Linked DNA regions of Macaca fascicularis. The protein of the gene in region 1 interacts with the protein of each later gene in a biochemical or structural test. Links are inferred from orthologs where the notes say so. Each region holds a gene or a part of one and is shown on either strand. Other genes may lie near its edges.

What was found.
Region 2: the proteins of MAP3K7 (region 1) and NOD2 form a complex in vitro, tested with the Homo sapiens proteins (2 studies listed by BioGRID). The link is inferred for Macaca fascicularis from reciprocal best matches to the Homo sapiens genes MAP3K7 and NOD2.

Annotation. Positions count from the first base shown.
Region 1 is NC_088378.1:84,779,008-84,788,818, forward strand, and holds the start of MAP3K7 (mitogen-activated protein kinase kinase kinase 7), read left to right. Parts: upstream 1-4,389; 5' UTR 4,390-4,597; coding exon 4,598-4,717; intron 4,718-9,811. UniProt on the Homo sapiens protein: Serine/threonine kinase which acts as an essential component of the MAP kinase signal transduction pathway. Plays an important role in the cascades of cellular responses evoked by changes in the environment.
Region 2 is NC_088394.1:46,653,231-46,662,867, reverse strand, and holds the start of NOD2 (nucleotide-binding oligomerization domain-containing protein 2), read right to left. Parts: upstream 6,330-9,637; 5' UTR 6,234-6,329; coding exon 6,149-6,233; intron 3,985-6,148; coding exon 3,518-3,984; intron 1-3,517. UniProt on the Homo sapiens protein: Pattern recognition receptor (PRR) that detects bacterial peptidoglycan fragments and other danger signals and plays an important role in gastrointestinal immunity.

The DNA.
Region 1 (9,811 bases):
CCATGTTACTATACTGAATACTGCAGGCAAATGTAACACAATGGTATCTGTGTATCTAAACATAGAAAAGGTACAGTAATGATACAATATAAAAGATTTTTTAAAATGGTATACCTATATAGGGCACTCCCCATAAATGGAGTTTGCAAGACTGGAAGTTACTCTGGGTGAGCCAGTGAATGACTGGTGAGTGAATGTGAAGGCCTAGAACATTACTGTGTACTACTGTAGACTTTATAAACACTGTACACTTGGGTTACACTAAATTTATTTTTTAAAAGTTTTCTTCAACAATAAATTAACCTTAGCTTATTATAACTTCACAAACTTTTAAACTTTTTAAAACTTTTTGACTCTTTTGTAATAACACTTAGCTTTAAAACACAAACACACTGAACAGCTGTACAAAAGTATTTTATTTGTGTCCTTATTCTATACACTTTTTTAATTTTTTTTTTTTTTTTTTTTTAAATTTTTGAACGTTTTGGCTAAAAACTAAGACAAACACGTGTTGGCCTACGTCTACCTACACAGGGTCAGGATCATCAACATCACTATCTTCCACCTCCACATCTTGTCCCACCAGAAAGTCTTCAGGTGCAATAACATGCAGGGATCAGTCACCTCTTATGATAACAATGCCTTCTTCTGGAATACCCCCTGAAGGACCTGCCTGAGGCTGTTTTATAGGTTTTTTATGGAAGTAGGAGTATACTCTAAAATAATAATAAAATGTATAGTATAGTAGTTATATAAACCAGTAACATAGTTATCATTATCAATATTATGCACTGGACATAATTGTATTATACTTTTGTATGACTAGCAGCATAAGTTTGTTTACACCAGCATGACCACAGACACGAGTAATGAACTATAAGTAATGTGTCATGCTATGACATTACTATGGCTATAATGTCACTAGCCAATAGGATTTTTTCAGCTTCATTATAATCATATAGGACCACTGCCACATATGACGTCCGTTGGCCAAAAAATCATTATGCAGCACATGACTGTGTGTGTATCCTCATGCATCCTGTTTCCCATCCCTCAAGGATACACTTACCAAGGGCTTTTGAAAGAGAATGTTTACCTGTTCTTCTGAGATGGCTACCAAGCGATGCTCTCTGTTGTACTTTGTGATATGTCATGTGAAGAATGAAACTGGTAGTACATGCATTCTCAATGGAGGCAATAACACCTCCAAATGGGGCAAAAACTGGGGAGAGAAAAATCTTACCCTTTTTACACATAAAGAACAAATATACATACAATACATAAATAGATATACAGTGTATCTGAGGTATTAAAATTTGAGGAGGGCATTAAGAAGTCTAAAAAGGCTCCTTAAAAGAGCAATAATGAAAGAAAAAAAGATTGAGAAACACTATTCTAGACTATAGCAAATACCACAAAAGGCAGAAGAGAATAATGGAAACTTAATTATTGATGTTATCATCAAGCCTATGATGGAAATATGGAGCACTTGTCTGACATATATGTGACCCAGAACATTAAAGTGCTGCTACTTTAGTCCCAGTTTCTGCTAAGCCTCCATGAAAATAGGTCCCAGATATTGCTACACCCAAAATGAGCCAAATAGGATCAGAACCTCATTTAGAACAAGTGAAGAGGAGGTGGGAAATGGATTTTGAAACCCTTGTCCTCTCATCCCCTGGAGAGTATAAAAGGGCCAAAATTGAAGACAGAGTTGGAAGTTAGAGAGTAGTTATTAGGGTGCTGACATGAGGGAGAATGGTAGAGAGTGCTCGAACTCAGAGGGACTTCAAGGAATTTACCTAAATAGTTTTGATATGTATCTGGAAATTTGTAGAGACATATGGACTGGTGACTGAAGCTGACATGAAATTGTGAAGTCAAGCTTCTATCCTTTATTCATGAAAGTTAAAGGAAATGCAAAGTCAAAATTGAAGTGAACTGAGAGAGGTTCAGTTCCCCTCCATCATTCCTCTGCATTTAAACTTTATTACTTAGGATTATTTGGTTGCAAGATAATCCTGCATTTTTTGTCATACAAAAAATGCAGCTGGGACCAGCTTAAATGAAATGGTAATTTACTAGCTCACATAACCAAATCACAGAATGTGAGCGATGGATTGAACCTTGGGAATGACTGAACCCAGAGACATAAACACTGATGAAACTTTCCATCTATTATCAGAAGCTAGGGAAAAGGCGCAGGCAGACAAAAAAGAAAAAAATAATCTCCAAGCAAGTTGGACAAAAATTGATTTTAGACTGGCATCAATATCAGAAGTCCAAATCAGTGGATAAAACACAGAAGTGTTGGGGTAGAAGATATTCAAAATCATGTAATCAATTCACTTCGAAATGCATCTAGCAAAATGGTAGATGGATGTAAATACGGATGAATGGAGAGATGCACATATGTATATTATGATAAACATTCTTTCAACCTTTCTCTATATTTGACATTTTTGTAACAAAATTTTGGGGAAAAATAATCAAGCAGGAGAACTGCATCATGGCTGTAGTAATTAGCCCTTTGTCAAGATTCCAGTCCTAAACTGAAGGTACAGAAAACATGTCTTATACTCCAGGGAAAGGGAGGACTGACAAAAGCTATTCATTTGTACAGAATATGTAAGTATTTATTGAGTTCCCACCTGGCAGCAAGATCAAGGTGTTAAAGGGAAATCAGATATAGACCTGCAGTTATAGCACAAGGTAAGAAGTGACCATCCTTGTTTGGAAATGCAAGGGGAATGACAGGTGAAAATGACTGTGCCACTGATTAAATCAGCTTATATTGGGTATCAGTGCACCACACATCATTTCACATGCCCTGACTTCTCAGACAACCAACTGGGTGATGGCATCCTTACGTGATATAGGAAAATCACATAGAAATATATTTGTGGTGGGTGACAACTTTTGAATTTGCTGTGGTATCTTGAAGTTTAGTTGTTTATCTAAATAGAGATGTCCAATAGGTCCAGAATTCAGGAAAAATCTTGAGTATTCGGAGATTAGAAGTCATCATTATAAAAATGGTATGAGAAACAGAGACCTTGGGTAAGATCATGCAAACAAAGAGTGTACAGTGGAAAGAAATTATTGCTTCTTTCATTTTTTTATCCACTCATCAAACTGTCATTGCGAGTCACTAGAACTGTGAATAAAAAGTGACAGAACGTTTCCAAGAAGTTTGTAACTTCTTGATGGTCAAATCCAATGATCTAGTTGCAATCCCAAATGTGTTTAACATAATTCTGTACAGCATATACTTGGTTGGCTACTTCTTCATTGGAAAGCTCACCTCTGGTGATGTTCCAATTACTATTTTCCTCACTTCCTCCTTTCAGTCTCTTACTGAAACTTAGAATTTGACATTCGCAGGAATCCATCCTTGGTCTTTAAATCTTCATCTCTAACTCCAATTTTCCACAGTTAGGCTTTATGTCAAACGGACTATATAAAGTTCAACAGTTAGTTTAAAACTAAAACTTGTGCTGGTAGTACAACATGAGCAATACTGACCATCTTGGGGACAGATTGATCTAGTTTGTAAGGACCATAATTGCTTTAAACTCTGAGTGTATTTTCTCACGTCCTGAAAATGGTGATGAAAATATTTGATTTTCAAGGAGACTGTTGATGATTCATTTACCAATCTAAAGCACTAGTGCCCCGCACTCGTAATCCATAACTTGAGATGAACACACCAAAGTGTAAATATCTTATCCACCTAATCTGTGTAAAGTTTGTAACACCAAAATATTAACTTCTGTTTTTGATCACTCAGCCTCCATAGTTATTCATGTTGCATGATCTGATTCGCTCTTTTAGAATTTCTCATAGCGTCAGGGACTAGCTCAAAGTAACAGGAGCAACTGCTTCCTTCCATATCCCACATTGAGGAAAACACATTTTGCAAGCCGTCTTAAAGAAACAGGTCAACTTAGTTGAGGGATGAAACTTAAAAGCAAGCTTCGTCACAAAAAACACAGTTCAACACCACCTCGCCCGTCTGCTGGCAGCTCAAAGGAGAGAAAGAGAGGCCAAGACATACTTCACACAGCAGAGACTAAACGCCAGCTTTTATCTTTCCCGCTGGTCCTTAAGGGACCAACCGTGCTGATTTTCCGTCATGTTCCGCGCCACTTCCGTTCGCGCACTTTAATTACGTCAGGCGTCCTCTCTCGCGGTATCATCCGGTTGCTGAGGCCCTGTAATAAAGGTCTCGCGAAATTTGTTCTAGAGGTCCAAGCTTGCTTCTTAGTTTACTCCACCCCACCCCCAACCTGTCCCTCCTTTTCTTTCCAAGTCACAAAATTCTCCCCTTCCCTCCCCCGGAGTTTACGGCCCACCTCCTGTTTCCGATTTCAGCCCGGAACCGGAAGTGTAGTGGGCGGGGCCCAGCGGCGGAAAACGCAGCGGAGCCAGATCCGGACCCGGCTGTGGCCGCTGCCGCTATCCCCGCCACGGATCGCCGGGTAGCAGGACTGCGCGGCTCCAGCCTGAGGGTCGGTCCGGAGGCGGGTGGGCGTGGATCTCACCCGGATTGTCCGGGCGGCACCGCTCCCGGCCCCACCGGGCGCCGCGAGGGATCATGTCTACAGCCTCTGCCGCCTCCTCCTCCTCCTCGTCTTCGGCCGGTGAGATGATCGAAGCCCCTTCTCAAGTCCTCAACTTTGAAGAGATCGACTACAAGGAAATCGAGGTGGAAGAGGTGAGCGAGGCCCTGCATGGAGACGCCGGTACCGGCCCGGCCCGCCCCTGCCTCTGTCTGGTCCCGGCTCTGAAGGTGCCTCCCCGGCCCCTCTAATTCGCGGGACCCTGTGGGGTCCACCCGGGAGACCCAACAGCCTTCACTGACGTGGGAGTGGGGGTTACTCTCTGAGCTCAACTGCTTGGGAGTAGCTGCCTTTTTTCCTGTCTTGAGTACTCTTGCTTTTGGATTTGATATTCCGGTGATAAACAGGAGAATGAACTGGTGAGACAGTGTGGTCCTCCAGTTCTCGTATCTGTAAGTAGTAGTTTCAGCGAAGATCGTAGCCGTTCTGGAGTTTCAGTCCGCTGGACGTGAAGTTCTTAATGGCCAATAATTGTATTATGTTCGACTTCTACTTCAGTATCTGGCATGTAGGGGATGCTCAATAAATGCTTGTTAAATTAGTAGATCATCAAGTCTAATAAAGTGTTTCCCTTAGCATCGAATGGTTCTCAGTTTCTCCGATACCGCACAGCAATACTCGTAATGTTTAAACGCTCGGCTTTCAGTTGGGCTAACGTAGGTGAATTTCACCATAAGTAACACAGACTGGTCTACGATCAAAAGATGTTTCAAGTAGCATATTCTGAAGAGATAACGAATGATCGGTGACAATCAGAATATAACATTAGACTGGAAATCGCTATCAGAAAACCCATATCCTTTCTTTATTCTGCAGTAATTCATTTTAGAACAAGCTATTTCAAAGTGACTTTAAAGTGTTGCTTTTCAGATTAACAGAGAGGTAAATTGGGTTCTAATGACTATAAAATTTAGAAAAGTAAAAGCTGCATATATATTTTTTAAAGAGACTTTAGAACTTGTTAAAAACTTTGGCTGAAAATACTATATCTTACCATTTATTTGCCGTTTTTTTAATTTATTAAGCACTTGCGTTATATATCCCGTGAAAAACCTAGTGAAATATTATAGATTGTCAACAAGTTATGTCTACTTTAAAATTCTAAAATTATTTTTAAGTGTCAGCAAGTTCGAAGTAGTGAGATAACGTTCAACAAATAAATTTTTTTTTCCTGTGCATGTTTTGGAAGAGTAATGGATTACTGAATTATATACTTTTTATCACATAAAGTAACTTTAGAGATCATTGAGAACATCCTCATTTTACAAGATAATATGGTGGGAAAAGCAAGGTCTTTGGAATTAGAGGAAAGTTCAATGTATCAGATATGCCATTATTAGCTGTGTGATTTGGGGCAAGTTTCCTAACCCCTTTGAATTTTAGTTTTAGAAAGGGCTAATAAATTCTGTTTCATCTTATCTGCATAACAGATCTTAGTAGACATTATATGCAAAACACCTACCACAGGGCCTGACACATATTAGGAAACCTAGTTCCAGAGAGGAAATGTGACCTGCTTTAAGGTCACATGGCTAAAAGAAGACCTGTATTTTGAAAAGAGGGGGGAATGTTTTTAAGTTTTTTTTTTTTACATTGAGGCTATGATAAATTCCTTTTCCAGAAGTGGATAGTTGATCCAACTTTCATGGCTAATATTCTTTTTTAAGAATAAAAATTCCATGAGTCAGTATACAAGAATTGCAGTTTTTAAATAAGCGTTTACGTCTCCTCTGTGGTGAATTGCTATGCTTGTAGACTACAAATTGTTATATAATAATAACTTGTGCTTTATGGTCTACCAAATGCTTTCACAAACTTACTTCATTTGGTTCTTACAACCTTAGTTTTTGTATGCTACTTTCTAAAGCTTTTTACATTCTTGATTCATGGAAAAACAAATTACTAAGGAGGTAGTTATCATTTTGATGTTCTTCCCCTAAAGCTATTTCACTTCTGGTTAGGTTTCTGTGTTTCCAAGACCCTTCTCTCAATTTAGATAATGTTTCAATCTTTGTGTGTATGTGGGTGTGCGTGTGTTTAGGACATTTCTGGGGAGTAGGATTTTGTTTTTAGACGAAAATTTGTTTTTAATATTAGGCAGTCATTTGGGTTTTTTGTTTGTTTTATTCCCCTTCATTTTTAATACTCAGTTCATTTTTGCATTAAAGATTGTATTTGGATCTTTCTGATATTGAAAGCATTACATAATTTCCATCATGTTCTTCATTTGCATACATTAAACCAGTGTTACACAATCCAGAGTGAACCAAGGACACTTATTAGCTATTTGTCAACTTAGATTACACTTCCAGTTCAGTTGTAAGATAACAGAGGAAGATGACCAGAAACAAAAACTACTTTATGTTGCTTTCAATATTTTATATTGTATGAGAATATTACCTTCTAAATTAAGAAAATCATATTATGTATTTCTCAATATAATTGAATTGCATTATATCAATATAATTAGAAACTGTAAAAAAAAATAATTCAACCACAGGCCAAATATGCAATCATTTAGTAGATACATATTTCTAAGACATCAGCTGATCTTGCATTTCTAATATTGTAACTCAATAGTATTAGTTTGTCACATCTTAGATTCAGTTCAGTTCAATCAAATTAGGTAAAGTCTCAGCCTCAGAAATCTGCCTAGGTACTTTTTAAAAGTCATTTAGTGTTTACCATCTAGATCTGGCTGTAAAGAATATTGGAATAAAAGAGGGGATGGGTTGCAAGAAGTGTTACACAGGGTGGTATAGTGGAAAGTGTTCTGGACTGAAAATTAGAAAATGTAGATGCTGTACTGATTCTGCCATAATATATTTTTGTAACTTTGAGGAAGTCACCACGTTTTTCTGGGCCTGTGGTTACTTATGTAAACTGAGGGATTAAACAAGATCATTTAAGGTCTTTTCCAGTTCTAAAATGAAAACACATTCATTTTTTCCAGTATTTAACTGTTTTCTACAGTAACCTTAGAAGTTCTTTACGTACAGTGATCATGGTCTCCTGTAGAATTTAGTTGGTGACCAACTAATCCTGGGTTGACCTGGCAAATGATATACCATTTTACAGATCTTGACAAGCAGTCATAGAGTTTGACTTGCCAGAAGCTGCATGCCTAAGTAAATGGTAAAGCTGGGAATTGAATATGAGATTTCTCACTTGTGAGTCAGTTGCCCTTTCCACTGGATTTACAGTGTCACTCAGTACTTTCTGAAGTACTCTATAAACAAACCTAACATGGGAAAGGGGAAACAAAAAACTGATTTCCTTTTTAGTGTACTTGGTCCTGAGCATTTAATGAGCATTCTCATCTGTGCATAATACTCTGAGGTACTATAAAAGATGAATAGGGCTTGGTGCGATGGCTCCCACCTATAATCCCAGTACTTTGGAGGGCCAATGCGGGCAGATCACTTGAGGCCAGGAGTTCAAGACCACCATGGCCAACACAGAGAAACCCTGTCACTGCTAAAAATACAAAAATTAGCTAGGTATGGTGGCACAAGCTTGTAATCCCAGCTACTTGAGTGGCTGAGGCATGAGAATCATTTGAACCCAGTAGGCAGAGGTTGCAGTGAGCTGAGATCACACCACTGCACCCTAGCCTGCACAACAGAGCGAGACTCTGTGTCAAAAAAAAAAAAATAGATGACAGAAGAATCCTAGGATTACCTCCTTAAAATGTCTGACTTAGTATGATATGAGACTGGAGTAAACACAAAACAGTTAACCATAGACCACAGATTTAAAACTGTGAATATAGTGTAAATTAAACACTTAAGCCATAATTTGAAAATAGAGTTAATAACAGAAGGTTCCATTGAGTAGGGACAAGTTTAAAACTAGGTTTTGAATAAGGTGACCATCATGGGTTGGGAAAGTCACTAAGATGAATTTTCTTTGCAGTTGTTCCTCTGCCTGAAGTGCTGTTCCCCCAGAACTTAAAATGACTGACTCCTCACCAATCAAGTCCCACCTCAAATGTTATTAATACTTCCTTAGAGAAGCATTCCCTGAGCAACCTAGATCTTTGTCATTTCTATTATCTTTCATGGTACTTACCAGTAACTGAAATTGTGTCTCTCCTTCAGCAAAATGTAAGGTGCTTTATTCACTTTTGTAACCCCAATGCCCAGAATCTAGAATCTCTATAAATATTTGTTCAATTAGTACATGAAAGTATCACAGCATAATCATAAGAATTAAATGCCTATCTTGTTCTCTTATATTACATGTGATAAAACGAGCTAAGTTACGTGATTTGGCTAAGGCAACACTTACATTAGAAATGAGATCTGAGTCTTGTTTTAATGTCAACTCTATTATAGTTAGCAGATACTTTTGTTTAGCAGGGATAAAAGATGCTGTAAAGGGCCAGATGCTATGAGTAAGCCACGAATGGTAGGTCTTTACTACAGAGTGCTAAAAAGACCCTATTTACAATAGTTGCTTTTGAAAAGGAAGACCCATAATGCTGACCTCAACTATAGTGTAGGAACAAAGCTACTGTATTGGACACATAAAATTACTGCAGCATTTGTATGTATTCTTCAGCCTTGTTAAGGAGACACACAAAGGTTTTGTTTTAAAAGCTAAAATATACTACCAAGAGGAAATATAGATAGAACTTATACAGTTGCATGTATTTTGTAGGTTTAAGTTATAAATATATGGGGAATTGGTATTAGAGAAAAACCTAATTTATAGTGGTCTAAACAAACTGAGTACGTAGATTTGTTAGTCACTATTTAATTATAGATACCTAAAATAAATACATTCTTTGATGTGAAAGTGACCACTGATTTCAGTAGAAATCTGGAATTACTAAAGAGGTAGCTACAGAGATAATTTTTGTATTGTACATGTGTAGCTTAAAAGATAGCATGAGCATATTATTTGAAATAAAAGCCTAGTAAACGGGTGAGATGTATTGTGGCAGGTATTAAAAGACTGCATGAAAAATTCAGAAGAAAGCTTGAATAATCAAAGCTTTACTTTTATGTTATCAAATCCATCTTGTCAGCAGATGGCAGTTCCACTCTACCACAGTTTATTAATAGATATTGAAGTTCTAACATAGTTGGAGGCTCTAAGTCCTAACTAATAAATGTATGATCTATGCTTGTTCTGTCATGTTCTGCATTTCTAGCCAGAACAATGCCAGTATCACCAGGGGTCCA
Region 2 (9,637 bases), on another chromosome or scaffold:
TAGTAGTTGCAATTAAAGAAGGCCCCAGGTACTGACAATGTCCTGTTTTTTAACCTGGGTGATGGGAGCAGTTTACACCATACATATGAAATATACACACTTTTCTGTATGCATGGTGCATTTCCCAATTTAAAAATGTTTAAGTTAATATTGTTATAGGAATCAGGCAATTCAGAGCTCAGTCTGACACCTCAGCCCTATCAACTTTAACAGTTGCATGAGTCAGACGGACAGCTGGTATTACAGCTGGTGTTACCAGCCTCAGGTTTCCTAACAACTGCTATGCCCAACTGAGCAAGTTTACCACACAAAGCCCCCACATTTTATGACAGACAGAGAATAGCACAAGCTCTGGAGGAAAACAGGCCTGGATTCAAATTCTAGCTGGGCCACTTCCCAGATGGGCGATTTGGGCAGTTTCTTCATTGTTAAAAAACAGTGTAGTCACACTACACCCTTGTGGGGCTTAAATAAAACAATACAGGGAATGGACTGGGTACAGTGCCTGGCACACAGTAGGCATTCACTCAGTCAGTAGTAGCAATGGCTATTTTTGGAATTTAGTTCTTTAACTTGCATTTTGTTTCATTCCACAGCATTTTCTGTCCCTAACCTGCAATCAATGACAACTACTTCTTCATAGGAAATTAAAAGGCCATTTGGGAAGACATGTTGGTTGGATATACCACAAGCACCATCCAGATAAAATCAGAAAGGCCACTAAGGGAAGGCTACCAAATCAGAGTCACAGAATGTCAGAGCTCAAAGGGGGCTCAGAGAGAGCTGGATTCTAAAGGCTTGAACCTCAGACAATGCAATCCCTTCAAAATCTCCTAGTATCCTCAGATCTGTTGCCCCCTATCCCTGCTACCCACTCAGCTCAGTCCCAGCCTTCAATGTTTGCTTTTGCTGTCTATTTAGCCCTTTCTTAAGATGAATTCTTAGCTCATTAAAATCCAGCCTTAGATGGGCACAGTGGCTCATGCCTATAATCCCAGCACTTTGGGAAGCCGAGGGAGGAGGGTTACTTGAGCCCAGGAGTTTGAGACCAGTCTGGGCAACATAGCAAGACCCCGTATCTACAAAAAAAAAAAAATTTAGCCTAGTATGGTGGTGCCAGCCTGTGTCCCACCTGCTTGGAAGGCTGAGGCAGGAGGATCACTTCAGCCCAGAAGTTCGAGACTTCAGTGATTTATGATCGTGCCACCGCACTCCAGCAGCCTGGATGACATAGTGAGATCCCCATCTCAAATAAATAAATAAATGCCTTTCTTCTTTCCTAATCTAGGCATCTAAGGTTGTAAATTTCCCCCTATGTTCTGCTGTAGCTGTATCTGATAGATTTTGATAAATAATATTCTCATTATTTTTTGGTTCTGAATATTTTCTGATTTCCATCACGATTTCTTCTTTCACCCATGAGTTATCCCATTTCTTTTCTTCACCAATTCGGAGGTACTTCCTCTGCTCATATCCTGTCTTCTCTGGGCCCTAGGGATCTAGGCTACCTTCTCCAAACCCCTCAGACCATCTGTACCAGACCACATTGCTGAACTTTTAAAGATGACAAGACACAATCTTGTAACTTCTCAGACGGGTTGATTCAATTCCCCTAATAAATTATAAGAGAAACAGGTCAGTCCAATAATGAATATATCTTCTGTACGTGTAACTAATCAGAGAGGACTGCACCACGTCTGCTCTGTAAATACCTAGCCACATGAGCCAGCTTTAGTGCAGCCTTGAAGACAAATTCGTTTATTTCATCAGTCTCAACCTAGGGTTACCCAGACTCACATGAACACCACATACATTTTTGGAAAACAGACAAAAATAAAAACTAAAATGTTCCCCAATCCAGCCCAATTTAATACTGCAGTGTCATTCTAATTCAATCATTCATTCAATAACTCATTTATTTCATCCACAAATATTTATGGAGTACCTACTATGTGCAAAGCTCTATGAAGACAACAAACTTTAAGCAAATATGTATGAAGCACCTAGTAGATTCTGGCTGAATAAATGAATGAATAAATGAATGATGGATGAATAAGCCAATGACCAATGTTGGCCAGCTGGTCCAGCATTGGCCCTCTCATTAACTATTGTGAGCTTATTCAAACTACTTTACTTGGTCTCAGTTTCCTGATTTATAAAGTGGAATGTTAGTGAGTGTTCCGTCTGCCTCTCAGGAGCCCTAAGAATCACTGTTTGGAAGAAAACAAAAGAGTTTCAAAAATATTCAGTGGTCATTTCTCTGACCTTCTGGTCTCTGTTGAGTCATTACCTTCTTGGGGCAGTTATATCCCAACTCTGAACATCTATGATCTAATGCAATTTCATATCAGAAATCCTACATAAACATTTAAGCTATATTAGTATATAATATGCCACGTTAATTATAAAATAGAGATTCAACATACTACAATGTTATGATCTGTTGTGCTGTTAATTTAAAACAGACAGAAACAAAAGTGTACAAGTACAGAGTATCACTCATAACAGAAATAATCAATAGCAGCCAGTGGTAATAGCCACTATCCTAAGCATTACTCAATTTAACTCACTGAATCCTCCCAAGAGCCTTATAGGATAGGCACCATTTGACTATTACCATTGTTTTATAGATGAGGAAACTGAAACAAGAGAGACTGAGGCTGGAGAGGCTCCACAGGGAAGCCTGAGATCACACAGGGTTGACCTTGAGCCTGCACCATTCTGGCTTCAGAATCTGAGCCCCTGGCCACCACACACTTCCTCTCGGCAGAAGTGGTATGTTGGCCAGGCAAAGCGGTTCATGCCTGCAATCCCAACTGTTTGGGAGGCCAAGGCGGGAGGATTGCTTAAAACCAGGAGCTGGAGACCAGCCTGGGCAACATAGCAACAGCCCATCTCTAAAAGAAAAAAAAAAAAAAAAAAAAGCTGTGCATGGTGGTACAGCACCCATAGTCCCAGCTACTCAGAGACCAGAAGATCATGAGTGCAGGAATTCAAGGCTACAGTGAGCTATGATTGTGCCACTGCATTCTAGCCTGGGTAACAGAGTGAGACTTCAAAAAGGAAAAGAAGGGAAGGGAAGGAAGAGGAGAGGAGGGGAGGAGAGGGGAGGGGAGGGGAGGAGAGGGGAGGGGAGGGGAGGAGAGGGGAGGGGAGGGGAGGAGAGGGGAGGGGAGGGGAGGGGAGGAGAGGGAAGGGGAGGGGAGGAGAGGGAAGGGGAGGGGAGGAGAGGGGAAGGGAGGGTAGGGGAGGGGAGGAGAGGGGAGGGGAGGGGAGGAGAGGGGAAGGGAGGAGAGGGGAGGGGAGGAGAGGGGAGGGGAGGGAAAAAGAAAGAAGGAAAGAAAGTTGTATGTTGCCTGCCAAGAGTCAAGAGCAAATTTTACCTGCCTGGCTACCTTTTTAGGGGAAATCCCACAGACCAAGTTACCCCACAGGCTGACTTCATGAGGACAAATCAGTCTTGGTGACTAAGCACCCCTTTCCTGGGAACTTTGTGATGTATGCAGGAGTGCCTCACCCTCTGGGACGGTGTGAAGATTGGCAGCCTGATTTCGTCACATTCGTACTGGCTGACGAAACCCCGCTCTCGTGCCAGGTCCAGCACGCCCTCCACATGGCTGTGGAGCCTCCTGACAATGGCTGGCCGGTGACTCTGCAGGTCTTGGGCTGGGTGGAGCGAGTGGGGGTCCCAGCAGCCATGCAGCTTGGGGGATTGGCTGTCGGCCTGGGCTTCCTGGGCAGCAGCGACAAGTTTCTGACAGGCCCAAGTACCCTTATTCCAGACGGTGTCCAGGAGGCGCCTGGCCAAGTGGGAGAGAGGCTGGCCCAGGAGGTGGATGCCCTCGTAGTCTTCCCAGGAGAGGACCTCCCAGGACAGCAGCCAGTCCAGGACACTCTCGAAGCCCTCCAGGGACCCTGAGACCAGCAGCTCCACCAGCTGACTCCTCTGTGCCTGAAAAGCCTCCTGCGAGCACATTTCACAACCTGGGGAGGAGAACAAGGTCAGTGCAGGACTTCTCCAGAAGCCAGACGCGGGGTGGCTGGGGAAGGCCAGGGCAAGTCAGCCCCAGCAGAACCCGAGTTGGCCATGGTTCTAGCCTCAGACATTACCCAATCCAAGCTCCCCACCATACAGATGTGAAAATTGAGACCCAGAGAAGGCAAGAAACACCTCAAGGTCCCACAGAGAGTTTGAAGCAACCAAGAATTAAATCAAGACCCCTAACTCCCACATCCATGCTTGGTCTCCGGCTTAAAACATTTAAAAAGGCTTGAGGTAATATGAGGAGCAAGAGATCTCCCAAGGTCACTTGAGATCAGGAGTTCCAGACCAGCCTGGCCAACACGGTAAAACCCTTTCTCTACTAAAAATACAAAAATTAGCCAGGCGTGGTGTGGGCACCTGTAATCCCAGCTACTCAGGAGGCTGAGGTAGGAGAATCACTTGAACCCGGGAGGCAGAGGTTGCAGGCTGCACTCCAGCCTGGGCAACAGAGCAAGACCCTGTCTCAAAAAAATAATAATAAAAATGTAAAAAGTAGAGAGAGAGAAAGAGAGATCTTCCGAGCAGTCAGGGAATTCATTCTCTTCAAAGCAGGGTGAGAGGGACTCCACACTGGCCGGATTCACGCTACAGCAGTTTCAGTAATGGCTAATATTAATTAAGCATAAACAACACACCAGGCGCCATTCTAAGTGCTCTCCTGCGTGAATTCACTGAACCCTCCCAGCCACTCTGAAGTAGTGCCTATGATCTGCCCATTTTACAGAGGAAGACACTGAGGCACCGAGAGGCTCAGCGATTTGTACGACATGTCACAGCTAGACAGGCAGAGTCAGGATTTCAACACAAGCTGTGTGCAACTCCAGAATGCATGTCTCTAACTCTTACATTTGGGTTCCCCACGGGGGCCCCAAGCCCTTGCTGTGTGTTTTGCACACTGCTACTCCAAGGGGTACACTCAGAATATTGTTCTAAAGGTCCTATCCTAGGCTAAGTGAAAAATTACGGTGCAAACTAAGTTGTTTCCAAGCGTTCTCGTGCCTTGTCCCCCATCAACACTTCCCCCACACACTTGCCCTAGGGCCCTCACCTCCCTCCCACGCCCTCGAAACCACCGTGCACAGACTGCTGCTGCTGCTACCGTTAGCCACCTGCTGTGGGTTCTGGGAATTTGAGGGCAAGTAACCCTCCAGGAGCTTCAAGCCCTGGGAGGATCTCTGAGCAGCTGAGAAAATCTCTCAGCATGGTTAGTTCTGCGATTGTCGTGGGGTCTGTGGACAAGGGCTGGTGCAGTGCCTCGAAGAAACGAAAGTGAAAGGGTGTAGGCATGGACAACAAAGAGAGCCGTCGGCTTCTTTTTATAAATCAGGGACATTCCCAGCCACTCGAGGGAGTAGACGCCAAGCGGCCTGGGGATTTTGCCTCTTTGCTGATGGTTGTTTATGTGTCTCTCTCCCTGCCTGGGTCACGTGGAAGCCTGGGTCTTACTCGTCCTAGCATCCCTGAGCCTGGCACGGCACTGTCCCCCGCAGAGACACCGTGGAAATGTTCATGAATCAAATATCCCCTGGGCTGGGGGTGGGAGGAACACTGTAACCATCCTCATACGGCAGCCAAGGTAAGCAAAAGGAAAAACCTCCAATCTCTCAGAACGCTGCTGGGGCACAGGAGGCCCTGTGCTGGTCAGATGGGGAAACGGAGGCAATGAGGTTATGTGTGTGTCTGGCTGCTTGGGAGAGAGAGTGTCCCCCCCCTGCACAGGCCACTGGAATCCAGGAACTAAGGTAGTTCTCTCAGGCCAAGGAGGTCTCCTCCCCGTGCTCACCTCTAAGCAGAGGAGCCAAGAGGGTGGGGTGGCGGGGGACGGGGGAAGAGAGGACCAAAAGGGGGTAGAATAAGCTCTGGGCTTGGCCCTGGAGTGGTTCTCAGCTGTGGAAACATCAGCCAAGGACGCGACAGCAGCCCCCACCATCACCCCTGCCAGGGTCCTGGGGAAAATAACCACCCACCCACTCTCCCCAGAAAACAGCCCAGAGACACAGTCAGCACTCCCCATCTCACCCCAGGCCTGGGAGCATGCGCGCAGCCAGGGATGAAAGAAGGCTGAGAGTCAAGCTGAGACAGGACAATGCCTGCTCCTCTTACCCAGAAAATGTCCGAGGAGGACACTTGCTCTTTCCTCCTCATCGGGAGAGACTGGACCACCCCCTCTTCCCCCATCAAAGCCCATTAGGCTTGGGGAGCAGGCATGGCATCTGTGGGTGGGCCTTGTGCAGAACACCAAAAGCCCAGCGGCACAGGACTGGTGAGCCTGGATCTGTCTACCAACCCCACCTTCAAGGGAAATTCCCAAAGGAAAAGCCAGAGGCCAGAGTTGGCCAACCAGCCTTCCAGAACTAGGTAATTCCAGGCAATTCTGGCACAAAGCCTTGTGCATCCTGGAGACCATGACCCTCCCTGAAAAACCCCACTGGGGACATGAGACACATTCACGAGGGGACAGGCCACAAGTAAGTAGGGGCCCCTCCCTAGCACACCAAGCCTAGGGCAGCCTGGCCTACGTGTGAGCCATACACACCCCGGCTAGTGACGTCGGGCTTCTGTGGGCACCAGGAAGGGGAGGGCCGCCCAAGTCACGTGACTCGGAGCTCTGTCCTCCCAGCAGCTGCATCACCGCACCTCTGCCCTGGCCTTCTTCCAGAAACCTCAGAGCAAAAAGAATCCTGAGGGCCAATTCAGCCAGTCCCCTGTCTCTGAGCAGGCATTGTCCTGTCTCATATTAAACATCCGGAGAGGAGGGCCTGGCCTTAGTGCTGTCCTCACTAACCAGCTCAGGAAGCTCACCAGCTTGGGAATTTATTCATTATGTCTAGCTTCAGTTTCTCCTGCTTCAGTTTAACTTGGGAAAGAGACAGAAAAAATATTCACTCATTATCTGTTTCCTAAAAATTGTCCTTCACATCCTTCCTCTTACCCCTTTATTACCTGATCGGGCTTCCCCTCTTCAGGCAAAATCTATTAGTCTATCTGCATTGCCTTTTGATCTCTACTTCAGTTACTACAACTTCAAAGACACCATTGTCCTCCCCAAGGTGAGGCCCATGTAGAGAAAGGAGCACTTCCTTGCTGAAAGAGAGGGTCAAGGAGCGACCCACAAGGGCCCTCCCTGAAACCCAGGCCCAGGCCTGAGCCTTGGACAGCTCCTTCCTTCCTGAGACCACAGCCAACCTGGTTTCTCTGGGGCCAAGAGCAAATGCTTTGCTTAAGTGCTGAAATCTCAGTCCACTGACCCCTTGCAGACAGGAGAGGAAGGGAAGCCCAGGGAAGCGCAACTTCCCAAGTATCCCGGGTCTCTGCTGGGGCCAAGCGCCCCCACCCTCCCCCAGCCATCCTGCATTCTCCCTCCCCGGCACTGAACTTCTCTTCCTAAGAGACCAATTCCCCCCACCAGTGCACAATGCACTATATTCTCCATTGTAAAAGTAAAGCCCTCTCTTGACACCCACTTTCTTCATTTGGCTCCAATCCCATTTATCTGCTCCCCTTTATAGCAGACCCCCTTGTCTATTGCCTGTACTGCTGTCCCCAAGTCCTCCCATCCCCTCCCTCACCCTCAAGTTCCCCATCCAGCTCCAGTGAAACTGTCACCAGTGACCTCCCGTTGCTCAATCCTCAGCCCTCAGCCTGCTTGCTCTGCCAGGGGCATTGGTCATATTTGTTCCCTCCTTCCTCTTTGGGGCATTTTCCTCATTTCCTCCAGGGCACCCCAACTCTCTGATTTTCACTCTTTCTGTCTTCTTGGCTGGTTCCTAACACTGGGGGCCTCAGCACCCCTTCTCTTCTCCATATCACTCCCTCCCTAGATGAGACCACCTGCTCTTGTGGCTTTAAATACCAGCTATATGGTGATAATGCCCAAAGTTTTATTTCCAACTCCAACCTCCGCCCTTAACTTTTCCCAACTGCTTACTCATCACTGATGCCTAATGGACAGCTCAGACTCCACAAGCACAAAACCAAACTCTCAATCTCCCCTAAGCAACTCCCATTTCAGTTCATGGCAGCTTCAAACCTCCAGAAGCTCGAGCCAAAACCTCAGAATCATATTTGACTCTACCTTTCTCTTACACCCCAAATCCTATCGACACAGCCTTTGAAATATATCTCAAATCTGAATGTCTTGTTTTTTAAATTATTATTTTAACTACCTCTGGGCCATGGTGCAAGCCACCATGGTCTCTCCCCAGAATGACAGCAATGATCCTCTCACCAGGCTCTCCTTCTGCCCTTACCTCACTCCCCACGACCCATTCTCCACCCCACAGCGAGGTGGGCCTGCCAGACCCCAAGTCAGAGCAGGGGACTCCTCTGTTCCAAACCAGTGCTCCCATCATGCTCAGAGTGAAAACCAAAGCCTCCCAGCCCCCCAGATACTCACGTGGCTCACCCCTCAACTCCTTATGACTTTGCCCAGCTCTCCTGGTCTTGGGGAAGCCTTCCCTGGCTGTGCTATATACAATGCAATACCCAGCCCCAGCACCCCATCCTGCTTCCCAGTTTTGTTTTACTCATAGCACTTCCCACCACCTGCCATGCCGTGTATTTACTTATTTCATTGCTGTCCATTCCTTTCTAGAATGTGCACTCCATGAGGGCAGGGAGTTTTGTCTGGTTTTCCTATTGCTCTGTCTTGTGTCTCATCCAGTGCATGAATGATGATCGCCGGAATGAATGAAAGAATGGACGTGCTCTGCGTGGCTCCGGGAGACAGAGGTGGAACCAAGGTGTAGAATCTGCAAGCCATAGATTTTAGCTAAAGAAAACAAGAGCTGCAAGGCACTGAAAAGCCACCTCACCAGTAGCAAGCTCCCCACCACTGGGCATGTGTCACAGAGGGGTTCTGCGATGGGTAGGAGGGAGGTGGGCTGGATGAGGATGCTTCCAGCCTCAGATCCCAGGGTGCAGAGAGGTAAAGGAGCCTTGAGTGGCCAACAAACTCAGGGGCCCCAGCAGCCTCATGGCTGAGTGATCGGGTCAGGCAAGTACAGGTGGTGGGGATGTCACTCTGGTCTTCTTCACTAAAGGGTTAGAGGAGGGTGACAGGGCAGGTGTTTCCCCTCTGTAGAACAAGGACCCTGGAGGAGGCCAGGTCACAGCCCATGGGGAAACCAAGGCCATGGCAGGAAGGGCTCAGAAAGAGCGAAGTCAGAAGCAGGGGTCCAGCCCCCAGCCCTCATGCAGCTTCAGGAGGCCCTCCCCAGGGGGATTGAGGTGGAGGGCTTTTCAGTGTGTTGGGATGAAAGCAGGACCAGATGGCTGCTCCATCAACTTGAGAAGCAGAGGAGAGCAAACAGACAGGAGATGTGGCCTCGCGGGTCCTGATGTGGGCTGTCTGGGAAGGGATGGATTTAAACTTTGATCTCACACCCAACAAGGGAGAAGCAGGAGGCAGGAGATTCCCCTAAGAGGTGCGGAGAGCAGCAGTAGGATCCTCCAGGCAGACTCGCCCACTTACACCCACCCACTCTCTGGCAGGGTGAAGATGGGAAACTGAGTCCCACAGAGAGGAAGGAAACCAAAAGAGTTGCCCCCTCTGAGACCTGAAGCCCAGGCTCCTCAGGACTGCTCACTCCT